3 linked regions of the Rhinolophus ferrumequinum genome follow. The protein of the gene in region 2 interacts with the protein of the main gene of each other region in a biochemical or structural test. Links are inferred from orthologs where the notes say so. Each region holds a gene or a part of one and is shown on either strand. Other genes may lie near its edges.

What was found. The genes of interacting proteins can lie anywhere in the genome.
Region 1: the proteins of ARF6 (region 2) and HTR2A form a complex in vitro, tested with the Homo sapiens proteins (2 studies listed by BioGRID). The link is inferred for Rhinolophus ferrumequinum from reciprocal best matches to the Homo sapiens genes ARF6 and HTR2A.
Region 3: the proteins of ARF6 (region 2) and CYTH2 form a complex in vitro, tested with the Homo sapiens proteins (3 studies listed by BioGRID and IntAct, with this or other methods). The link is inferred for Rhinolophus ferrumequinum from reciprocal best matches to the Homo sapiens genes ARF6 and CYTH2.

Annotation. Positions count from the first base shown.
Region 1 is NC_046287.1:90,177,921-90,181,668, reverse strand, and holds the start of HTR2A (5-hydroxytryptamine receptor 2A), read right to left. Parts: upstream 2,910-3,748; 5' UTR 1,746-2,909; coding exon 1,334-1,745; intron 1-1,333. UniProt on the Homo sapiens protein: G-protein coupled receptor for 5-hydroxytryptamine (serotonin).
Region 2 is NC_046289.1:42,166,762-42,170,509, forward strand, and holds the start of ARF6 (ADP-ribosylation factor 6), read right to left. Parts: upstream 2,267-3,748; intron 2,167-2,266; 5' UTR 2,126-2,166; coding exon of another isoform or gene 1,710-2,125; 5' UTR 1,681-1,709; coding exon 1,153-1,680; 3' UTR 1-1,152. Other genes in the region: collagen alpha-1(I) chain, read right to left, coding at 1,710-2,125, 2,267-2,459. UniProt on the Homo sapiens protein: GTP-binding protein involved in protein trafficking that regulates endocytic recycling and cytoskeleton remodeling. GTP-bound form plays an important role in the transport of multiple palmitoylated proteins form the Golgi to the plasma membrane.
Region 3 is NC_046298.1:44,013,366-44,017,113, forward strand, and holds the start of CYTH2 (cytohesin-2), read left to right. Parts: upstream 1-1,326; 5' UTR 1,327-1,527; coding exon 1,528-1,546; intron 1,547-2,375; coding exon 2,376-2,523; intron 2,524-2,620; coding exon 2,621-2,687; intron 2,688-3,706; coding exon 3,707-3,748. UniProt on the Homo sapiens protein: Acts as a guanine-nucleotide exchange factor (GEF). Promotes guanine-nucleotide exchange on ARF1, ARF3 and ARF6. Activates ARF factors through replacement of GDP with GTP.

The sequences.
Region 1 (3,748 bases), on a different chromosome or scaffold from region 2:
TGTACCCGGAGCCTGAGGCGCCCGGGCAGTCCGAGCTTCCTAACCCAACTGGCGGATGCCTGCCCGGCCACCTGCCGCTCGGAGTCTTCCCTAGCCTCTCTCCGCGGTTTTAGTTTCCAGACCCGCACTGTGAAAGTCATCCCCCACCTCTGGAGTTTGCATTTGAGCAGGGTAGGGATATAGGAAGCGAGGACCTCTCCAGAATGTCTGGGAAATGACAGGCCAATTTAATGAAATCATCTGGGTGTGACATTTGAGTGGTCAAGTGTGGGGGTGTGGGGACGGGCTGGTTTTGCAATGAGCATTATGGACTCTGTGTGAACTGGCACCTGTTCTCCATTGCTCACTCCCTCCTTCCCACTCCTCAGGGCGGGATTGATTATTGTTTTAGCCCCTAAGTCTTGGCCAGAAAATCCCTTTTTAATGACCGTGCTCCTCCTAACCTGTTTCTAGCTCTGGGTGATTGCTGATGTGTCTGTGTCAGCAGTCTCAATAGTCATATTCTCTCTCTCTCTCTCTCTCTCTCTCTCTCTCTCTCTCTCTCTCTGGAGAAATCTGGCCGTATTACTCATAATTTGGAAAGAATATCACATTCTGCTCCCAGCTGAAACCGCCCCAGTGTTTGCTGACTTGCTGAGAGGATTGACTCTTTCAAACTCTGTTGAGAAGAAAGCAAGATTAATTTCTTCCCATTTGTTTTCCACCCTCCTCCACACCAGTCTGGAGGATTTTATGCATATGAATCTTTAAAGAGTTGAGGGTATAATTCAAAGGCCCACTTCCAAATTTGCTTCTCTGGGCAGGGAACAATTAAAACTGGAGTAATTCATTTATTCTAATGGGGACTCTGCATATTTTAACATTAAACCCACTTGCACCATTAGTGTTCTCTCTGCAAATGCTCCAAGATAATTGGGAAGGTTTTACTACTCCATTAGAAGTGCTGAAAACTGTGTGACAGAGATAAAAGTGTTCTGTCCTGAAGGCTGTAATATTTGTGAATATAAAGGAGTGAAAATAAACTGGATTCAGAATGACAGATAAGTTATTGCTTTATGACTGTATTGGGACATTTATAATCATTTCTACATAAAATGTACATGTTTCAAAGCACAAAACTCTCCAGTGATCACAGATAATAGGTTGCCTGTTTTCATATATGTGAAACCTCATTTTAAGAGTAAAGTTGAAGTAACTAGAGTTACATGGTAGACCCTTGTCTATCAGCAAAGCCTTGTGTTTACTTGGTCCCGTGAGCCCTGGCTCATCTGCTAATGACATGCACATGCTCTGTATCATCAGTGGGTATAGTTGGGAAACTAATGCCACTCACCATATAGGATGGTTAACATGGACACGGGCATGACAAGGAAACCCAGCAGCATATCGGCTATGGCAAGTGACATCAGGAAATAGTTGGTGGCGTTCTGCAGCTTTTTCTCTAGGGACACTGCCATGATGACGAGTATATTTCCAGCAATGGTTAGGATAATCACTACAGCTGTCAACAAAGCAGACCAGTTTTTTTCCTGGAGATGAAGTAAGGAGAAGCATGGTGGTGAGAGGCAGCCCTCACAGGAAAGGTTGGTTCGATTTTCTGAGTCGACTGTCCAGTTAAATGCATCGGAAGTGTTAGCTTCTCCAGAGTTAAAATCGTTATTGTAGAGCCTTGTGTTATCATTTAGTTGCATTAAGGAGTTCGTACTTGAGCTCAAAGAAGTATTTTCTTCACACAGAATATCCATTTCTCAGCCAGAACTTATAACAGATGAAGTGTAGAAAAACTAACAAGTTAATAGGCTCTGCTCACCATCCATCTTTATGTCCCCACACTCCGTCACACTGAAGCTGGTGTACCTGCTGGGCTCCTTTGGTTGGCTTTTTTTCCTCCCATTATTACAACAGTAGTTGAAGGACTGCAGTGGCTCTTTATATTTCCTTCCTTCACAATTTTAGTAGAGTCTTCTGCTTGGTTTCATTTTTTTGTTCCAAAGCAAGGTCAAAAAGGCAGAATGAACTTTTAGCATAGAGGTTTCAGAGTTTTGAGCATTTGGGGAGAAAAATGTGATCCTGGCCAAAAACAGAAAAGTTTTGTAACTACCAGGAATCTCGTTTAGCTCTGTCTCATTCTGTTGGTTATGCGGATCACACTAGGTTAGCCACAGCCGTCTTAAAACAACATGCAATCCAAAACAGCAGGGCTGTATGCCTTCTACATTAAGAAAGTCAATTAAAAATACATTCAGTGTTAATCCCAGAGTAATTGGATGTACTTTGGGTTATAATTCTCAGTCTTAGGCAGAACTGCCACAGCTGCTGCCGGGAATTTCAGCTTGTATTATGTTGCTTAGTTAATAAAAGGGGACAAAAAAAAGTCTTAAGCAAAGATTAACAACTTTCCACACTAGAAATTCTCATTGTGAAATGATTACATTTTGGCCAAGCATGATTTCAAGCCAGAAAGAAAATTACACAGCAATAAAATATAGCATGAGAAGATGAGAACTTACATTTGTCTTCAGGGTCCTCACATCAGACACACTGCTGTTCTGTAACTCGTTGCATCTCTCATAATAAATAAGCTGGTATAGAGTCCCTTCTCCTTGAGCCTCCACCAGCATAATATGATAGTAATTTGATTTCTGTTTTGCTGACTTCAAAAACTGCATGTAAGGGTCAAGCCAGTTCCAGTGCTGCGAAGCCCGCCTTGGCGTTCTCTGCCCCCGCTCAGCTGGGTCACTCCCTCCCTGGGCGGCTTGCCTCAGCGAGGCACACATTTAGAATCATTCACAAGCCCCTCTCAAAGTCACACAAAAGAAATCTCACAGCAAAGTAGGAAGAGCAGCCTGCACCGAGGGTCGCGTGGTTTCCACGGGAATGAACTAGCTAGCTCTCAGGCTGTCTCATTCACGTCGTCAGACCTCCCTCTATCTGTGTGTCATAAACTGCAAGGTAGCAACAGCCAGCAGGGTGGATCGAATAGGCTGTTTTTTTTTTTTTTTTCCTTTTTGCTACACGTTAACGCTGGGAAGTTTCTCTTTGTTTTTAAAAGAGAGAAACTGGAGAATTCACATTTTGTACAATTCCTAAGGCAGGTAAGCTGCACTGGTGATATTTATTAGGGTGAAGATAGAACACGAAAATAAGGCTAGAGAATGGTATATCCTGGGAGAGTGCCCTCTATAAACGAGGCGCTTCCATCCAAAGCCCACATTCTTATGCCTGAAGTGGGATTACTGACCTTGGCGGCTTGAGCTCTGTGTGGTCAAGCAGATCTTGGCCAATAACTCTGAAACTATTAGTACCATTTTAATTTATTATGACATACATCTACTGTTCAAATAGCTTATTTTCTTCAACAGAAATATGCCATGGAGAAGTAATTCAAAACCTCACATGTAGAAGAGAGTAAGTTGGTTGTTTAGAGATGACACTGGAGAGCCTGCTTTCCTTGTAAGAAAGCCCCTTCTCAGTTTCTAAACAAGGCAGATATGTGTGTGGATGGATGTGTATACACACACACCCGTAGCTCCTTATTTTTATAGATGAGAAAGTAGATTTTTTCCTGAATAGTTGGGTTTTTCTAAATTTCTGTCCATCATTATCTTCTCTTCTTACCCTTTACATACTCCCTAGACAAAATCAGCTATTCTCATGCCTTCAACATGTTTGGGGCCAAATCTGTACCTTCTTAGCAGATTATTTCCCCCAGCTTCAGACCGAGATATCCAGCTGTCCACTGGGCCTT
Region 2 (3,748 bases):
AGGTGTGGATCACTAAACTATAAAAAGAAAGACTTTATCTTCAATCAGTTGCTGTAATGTGAAAACAGGAATGTGTGTATTTCCAACTAGGTAAAAGGTGCATATAAAATTTGAATTGTTAAATGTTTCATTAATGAACAAAGTAAACATTCTAGTAATTTAAAAACTATTGGTCTTAGACATTGAAACATGGTAAAAGTATATATTCCAGTTTTGCCCAAGTCACTTAAAATATCTACAAATATTTTGACTGTGTGTGGGTGGATACACCATTATTGCTCCATTTTCTGGAAAGTCTTTTTAAAGTTAGAAAAGAGGGAAAACACAGCAAAATTGCTAACTTTGCAGTGACAAAAATCTGTGTCCTTAGACGGGTTACAATTTTATATTTTTATGCAGCGTTAAGTTAGCTATGTAATGGGGAACTTGAGTTTTATCCCTACTCATGCATGATGTATGTTTCAGAATTTAATAGCTGACATTTCAAAGAACTTCTTATATTACCTGTTTAACATACTGATGTGCAACTGGAACATATTACAATATTACTCACTTGCCACTGTGGGCTGAGTTTTCTATACTGGTCTTAGATATAAAAGGTCACATTTGAAATTACTAAGTTAAAGTTGTAACTCATAAGGGAGGGGGGAAAGGCCTTAAATATAAAAGACAAACGGCAGTTTGATTAAGCAATAATTTTCAGTTTACTAGATGAAACAGACTTGCAACATAGTCTGCATGAATGCAAAATAAGCCATCTACAGCAAGTGATAAGGAAACTGGGCAAAAAGGAAAAAAGCATACATTGGAAGGAAAGATTCTGTCAAAATAAAAAAATCATACCATTATTATAAAGGACTTTACCAAGAACTGCTATATTTCCCCCATCCCATTTGCTGGAAGTCAACAAGAGCATCTAGCACTTTGTGTTCATGTCAAATATCAGATCAGAGCATCCTACCGCAAAGCAAAAAAAAAAAGAAAAAAGAAACAAAAAGGAAATCCCTAATCCCCCCCAAACTGTAGAAGAGCAACTCCAGAGTTCAAATTCAAAAGAAGAGAAAGTGGCAATTGAAAGAGGTGATGGTGGAGATAATCCTATGAATGGGTTTTTGATTTCTCTCCTTCCGGGGGATGGGTGGAGAACACTCATTAAGATTTGTAGTTAGAGGTTAACCATGTGAGCCCCTCATAGAGTCCATCCCCTGAGGTGGCACAGGAGGGCTGCACATACCAGTTCCTGTCCCGAATCCGGGTCAGGCCCAGTTTCTCCTGGATCTCGTGGGGTTTCATGGCATCAGGCAGGTCCTGCTTGTTGGCGAAGATGAGGATTATGGCGTCCCTCATCTCCCGGTCATTGATAATGCGGTGCAGCTCCTGGCGGGCCTCGTCGATGCGGTCGCGGTCGGCGCAGTCCACCACGAAGATCAGACCCTGGGTCCCGGTGTAGTAATGCCGCCAGAGCGGCCGGATCTTGTCCTGGCCGCCCACATCCCACACGTTGAACTTGACGTTTTTATAAGTCACCGTCTCCACGTTGAAACCCACGGTGGGGATGGTGGTCACTGACTGGCCCAGCTTCAACTTGTACAGGATTGTTGTCTTGCCGGCCGCGTCCAGGCCCAACATGAGGATCCGCATTTCCTTGTTCCCGAAGATCTTGGATAGCACCTTCCCCATCGCGTCGGAGGAGCCGGGGCCGGGGGCATTCAGGTGTCCCAAGTCCCCTCTGCCAACAACGCCGCCGCCGCGAAACCGAAACGAAGCCTCCCAGCCGCGAGGGCGCCCGTGAGGCCTGCGTGGGAGTTGCCTCCTCGGGACAGAGGCCCGGGCCCACCGCTCACTCGGGCATCACCGACCACACAACTTGATTTCTCCAGTCGCCGCTGCCGCCGGGGCCCTGAGTCTACGCCGGGAGAGCCGCCGCCCTGCTGAGGCGAGGCGCGGCCCGGCCCGGAACTGCCCTTCCCCCCGCGAGCGCCGCGCGAGCGCCGCTGCGATTCCCGCTCCTCCGCCTTCTCCTCACTCAGCCGCGGGAGACTGCGACCCTGTGGCCCGCCCGCCGGTCCGCGAACGCCGGGCTCACCACCGACCCAGGCCACCCGAGGCAGCGAGGCTCCGGCGCCTCGTCAGGTCATTGATCCTCGCGGGAACTCGGTGCGCTGCCTGCAGAGACACAGAGAGGGAAAAGGGAATTACAGCCGGAGCTCCAGAGGGGAGCGGTGGTCCAGGTGGCCTGCCTTTCCAGCTCGGCCCGGGAGGTTACCTCCAGCCGCCGCCCCGAGCGCGGGCTCCCTCCGGCCTCCACCGCCTCCTCCCAGCTCTGCCGCCGCCGCCACCGGAAAAGGCGCCGAGGAAACCGCCTCACTTCCCCTCCCGAGCACGCAGGCGCAGCACAGGCCGACCGTTCGGACAAGAGCGACCTCTGTAAGGAGAGCGGCCCGCGCGCCAAGCGTCATTGGCGCCACGAGCAGAGGGGGCGGGGCTACGGCGGCTCGGGAGGGCCTGCAGGTGCGGCCAGCCCCCGGCCCGAGTCTCGCGCGGACTCGGACTCTTGCCCGCTTGTGGCTATTCTAGCGTCTCCTCCCTTTTTTGCTGTCTTCCGCGCTTTCTCCTCCAACACCTCTCGAACCGGAGAAGCAAAAACCCCAGGGAGCTGCCCAGGGCGCGGCCCGCGGGCAGCCCGCTCGCACGCCGAACGCCTCCCTCATGCTGCTGCCAGGTGTCTTCTCAGAACTCGCTGCCTGCCAGATCCGCTGAGAATTCCCTCCATCCCGTCCCAACCTTCGCGCTCACTCGGGCTCCCAGGGAAGCCCTATCCGCTGCTTTTACCTTCCCCCCACCTCTCCTTGGCTTTCTTTATTCCTCGTGCTCTGTGGGTTTCCTGCAAGACACGTGGGAGACAACTGTTTCGTATGGAATCTGCCAGTCAATGCGGTGCTTTTACCGGCTTGGGTTTGCTCTGAAGCCCTTTGAGTATTTGAGCCTTTATACATCTCGTCAGGACCAGCCCACGTTTCTTAAAAATTATAGTATTATCAAGAGTTCCTGTACCTTGCCGCACTTTAAACTTTTTAGAAGGTGATAACTTTTCGTATGTAAATATCTCCTCCTTTTAGTGTATTAGTAGCTGCTTATCCACCCACCCATTCTTTAAGAGGCATGGACGATATAATCTTAGCATACGATTTAGAATCAGGTAGAGACTACTTCTGTGGCCTGGATCTAGGCATTTAACCTTGCGAAGTTTGTTATGTGTAAACAGTGTAATACTGGCTTTGCTCTCTCCACCCCATTTGAGGGTTAAATAATATTTGTGGAAGACTTTAGGAAACCTTTTTATATCATAGTGATAAAGAGGCTTAAAATGAGGTGAAAGCTTAAAATAAATGAACCAAGGGGAGGAAAAACGAAATTTTTTTAAAGGAAGATGGTAAAATGGCATATGGTAACATACTTTTTATTTAAGAAAATACTTATAATTTAAGTATTTAACATAATTTAATAAAATTTGATAATGGTAGATCATGCCTGAAATAAACTTACTGTGTTTATTTCCGGCAGTTATTACCACGTTTCCCGGAAAATAAGACCTAACCGGACAATTAGCTCTAATGAGTCTTTTGGAGCAAAAATTAATATAAGACCCAGTCTTATTTTACTTATAAGACCGGGTCTATATAATATAATACCATGACTGGGTCTTACATTAATTTTCGCTCCAAAAGATGCATTAGAGCTGATTGTC
Region 3 (3,748 bases), on a different chromosome or scaffold from region 2:
TCTATCTGGGGTAGGGACTGGGGACAATAGAAACACAGGGATGGAGAAGGATGTTACGTTGGAGATAAAGGGACAGGAAAAAGGTTCTGTTTGGAAGGAAAGAGAGTAGGGTCAGGGATGGCACAGCCTGGGTTTCCACTGGAAGGGCAGGGCCTGGGCCACTCATAAAGGTCAGTAAGGGGATTAGGAGGCGCTGTGTCTAATCTGTCAGTTTAACCAGGTCCTGGCCCTGAATTTGTCCCCACCTGCCTAGCCCAGAGGCAGCGAACGAGGACGAGGCCCAGACACCACCTCAGACCCAATTACGGACCTGGGTGCCCAGGTTCTCCATCCAGGCCAAGATCCTGCACCTGCTTTGCCTGCGAGAAATGAGAATGAGAGGCTGGGAGGACTCAAATGCGGGAGAATTCTGAGAGGAGAAAGGCATTTAAAAAGAGCAAGAATGTGAGAGAAGGGGGAACCTGAATGAGGCGAGTTGGAAAGGAGTGAATGGACTCTTAGAAGGGGGAAGGAATCAGAGGTGGGAGGGTGCTGAGGAAAGTTGTCAGAGGGGGAGGATGCTAAAATAAGGGGAGGAGTTTGGGGGAGAGGGAAGAGCCTGAGAGTCAGCAGGTGCCAGGAAGGCGGAGCCTCTGCTTTCACTATATTTGGCCTTTCCCTATTGTCCCATTCTCCTTGACAGATACCAAATAGCGTAGCATTTAGAAGAAAGAATACGTCTTTGTTCCACCACTCGTTGACTTTGAAGAGGCTGAGGTGGATGGGGTCATAGGAGGGGTTAAGAAAAGGGACTGGAGATCGGAGGGGCCAGTTCCCGGAGGAAGGAGGATAAAAGAAAGGTGAGCTAACCAAAGCTGCTCCCGGTTGCGTGGCAACCGCTGCGGTCAAAAGCCAGCTTGGACTTCTAGGAGGTGTGGCTCACGAAAACATCCGACAGCTGTGGCCCCGCCCCCTAGCAACAAGGCTAACAAAGTACCGCCCCCCCCCCCCCCGAAACACACAACTAGAGGCGGGGCTCGGTTGAACTATAATAGTGTCCTTGTGCCCACAGCCCTTGGGCAGGCGCAGTCCTCTGTGCTCCCGCATAGTCCCACCTCCATGCAAATCCTTTCCGAGGTTTCTCATTGGCGAGCAATCCAGCCAAGTGACTTCTTTTGTTTCGGAGGCGGGGCCCGACGCACTGGCTGCACTCCGATTGGCATCGCAGGCCGTCTACCTCCGACCGGACATGGCTACGTCTGCTCCTTGTGCCCTTATTGGCCCTGGAGGATGGCCCTTCGGTACCGGGGGCGGAGCAGACGAGAGGGCCTGCAGTGGATTGGACGGTGTCGAAACGAGGGGCGGTCCCTACAGGCGGGGCGGTTGGTAGGCGAAGAGAGAGTCTTTTCAGCGCTGAGGACTGGCGCTGAGGAGGCGGCGGTGGCTCCCGGGGCGTTTGAGCGGGCTCACTCGAGCCCGCGGGCCAACGCGGATCCAGGCCCGACCGGCGGGACCGCCCCGGACTCCCCGCGGGCCTTCCTAGCCGCCATGGAGGACGGTGTCTATGGTAGGTCGGGGAGGGGTGGAGCTGGCACGAGCAGATGGAGTCTTTCGTCCCGAACGTTCCGGTGCGAACGTTCCCTTTGGCGCTCACCTCGCGGAGCCGTTCGGCCCCATCGTTGCCGCCTTGCTTTTATGGGGCTTGGGATGGGCTTCCGGCGAGACCCTAGAGCGGGGCGTTCCAGGCCATTGTTTGGGCCGATCCTGTTTCCGGTGGCGGCGGGAGGGGACGGGATGGAGCAGCGGAGGCGAGGCCGAGGCGGAACCTTCCCCGCCGGAGGGGCCGGGCGAGCCCAGTGCCTGCTGGGAGCAGGCAGGGGGACTTCTGGGGGCGGCGGAGTAGGGAAGAAATCTTGGGGGCTGCAGAGATCCGGCTAAGACGGAGGCCTTTGATGTCCCGCCCCCTTTCCCAACTCTTACGAGCTGTCATCAGCTTTCCTTGCCATAGTTAACTTTTCATGGAACAGGAGTCCGGACATCCAGGTCCCAGCTACCTTGCCAGTAATGGAAGCAGAACACCAAGGCCTCAACCCCTTTCCAAGTAATGGAACCAGCAGTTCAGGCTGCTAGCCCAGTCTCCCCCAGACCTAAGAGTTCAAGCTCCAGCCCCCTTCTCCCTCAGACTCAGGAGCCCGGACCCCGGGTCCCCGCCTCCCCCAGGACTCAAGAGGCCACCAGCCCCTTCTTCCATTAGACATAGGATGCTGGACCCTCATTTTCATCATCCCCACGAACCTAGGAGTCCTGTTCCCCCTTCCCGCACCCCTGTCATCCCCCAGATTGCAGGAATCCAGGCTCACAGTCCACAGAACTGACCTCCAACTCCTGACCCCTAGAACCCCCAGACCTTACGCCGGAGGAGCGGATGGAGTTGGAGAACATCCGGCGACGGAAGCAGGAGCTGCTGGTGGAGATCCAGCGCCTGCGGGAGGAGCTCAGCGAAGCCATGAGTGAGGTGGAGGGTCTGGAGGCCAATGAGGGCAGGTGAGGGCTGGGTAGCGAATTTGGGGGTCATGGGGCCAGGCCGGGGCCAGGGATGCCCAGGTATTGACCCTCCATCCCCCTGCTCTCTGCCCTGCAGCAAGACCTTGCAGCGGAACCGGAAAATGGCCATGGGCAGGAAGAAGTTCAACATGGATCCCAAGAAGGTGCCTGGGGGCCACAGGGCTGGGATCCGCCTAGCAGATATCTTGACGGAGGTTCTGGCACCTCCATGTTCCACAAGTGTGATGGTTAAAGGCCTACTTTAGGTGTACAGATTTGGTCCTAATCTCTGGATTTAGAAACTGGCTCTCCACTTATTCTCTGAATACTAACCAAATATTTCAGCCTCCTGACCTTGGCCTGTGCTGTGTTCTCTGGGAGATCCTCTTTCCTCTTTTTGCTCATATTCCTGGACCCACTTCCGGTGTCACCTAGAGTCCCAGGACGAGCTTATGTCTGGTGGGGAACATGGACAGTGACATACACAAAGGCAGGTTGACCACTGCCGTGATATGGAGGTACAAGAGCTGTGGACACTCAGAGGAGGGAGCCCAATGCAGTCATGGAGGGCTTCCCAGAGAAGGGGACGTTCAGATCTGGTGTGAAGGACGAGTTGGTGTTCACCAGATGGAGGAAAGATGTTTGTTGATTCAGTCTTTCTCTTTATACCCAGTTCCTGAGGCCTCCCTTGGGCCTGCCCCTCTGCTAGGCAATGCTGGGAGCCCAGAGAAGAGTTTGACCCTGCCCTCAGGGAGCCCCTAGACGTGGATACCACAATTCAGTGGTGTCCATTATAGAGCTATAATGGATGCCCTCATGGCATCAGGAGAGCCAGAGAAGGCCCTAGTCCAGTCTGAGGCTTGGTCCTCACAGCCCTTGACAGACTGCTGCCCGAAGCAATTGTAGTTTGTTCAATCATTCAACCAATATCCACTGAGCTCCTGTCCCTTGCGGACCCTGCTCTGGGTGCTGGAATTAACTAGGAAAAGGCAGAGGGAACAGTAGGTGCAAAGGTTATGAGGTGGGAGGGATGTTATTTAAAGACCTGTGAGAAGCCTGAAAATGACACCTGGCCCTGCCCTGTTGAGCGTGGGGGTGGGTTTGCGTGCTGTAGTTTCCGGGGAGGTAGTGGAAAGTGGCTTTCTGAGCACATCAGCACTGAGACCCAGACCCCACCCTCCAGGGGATCCAGTTCTTGGTGGAGAATGAACTTCTGCAGAACACA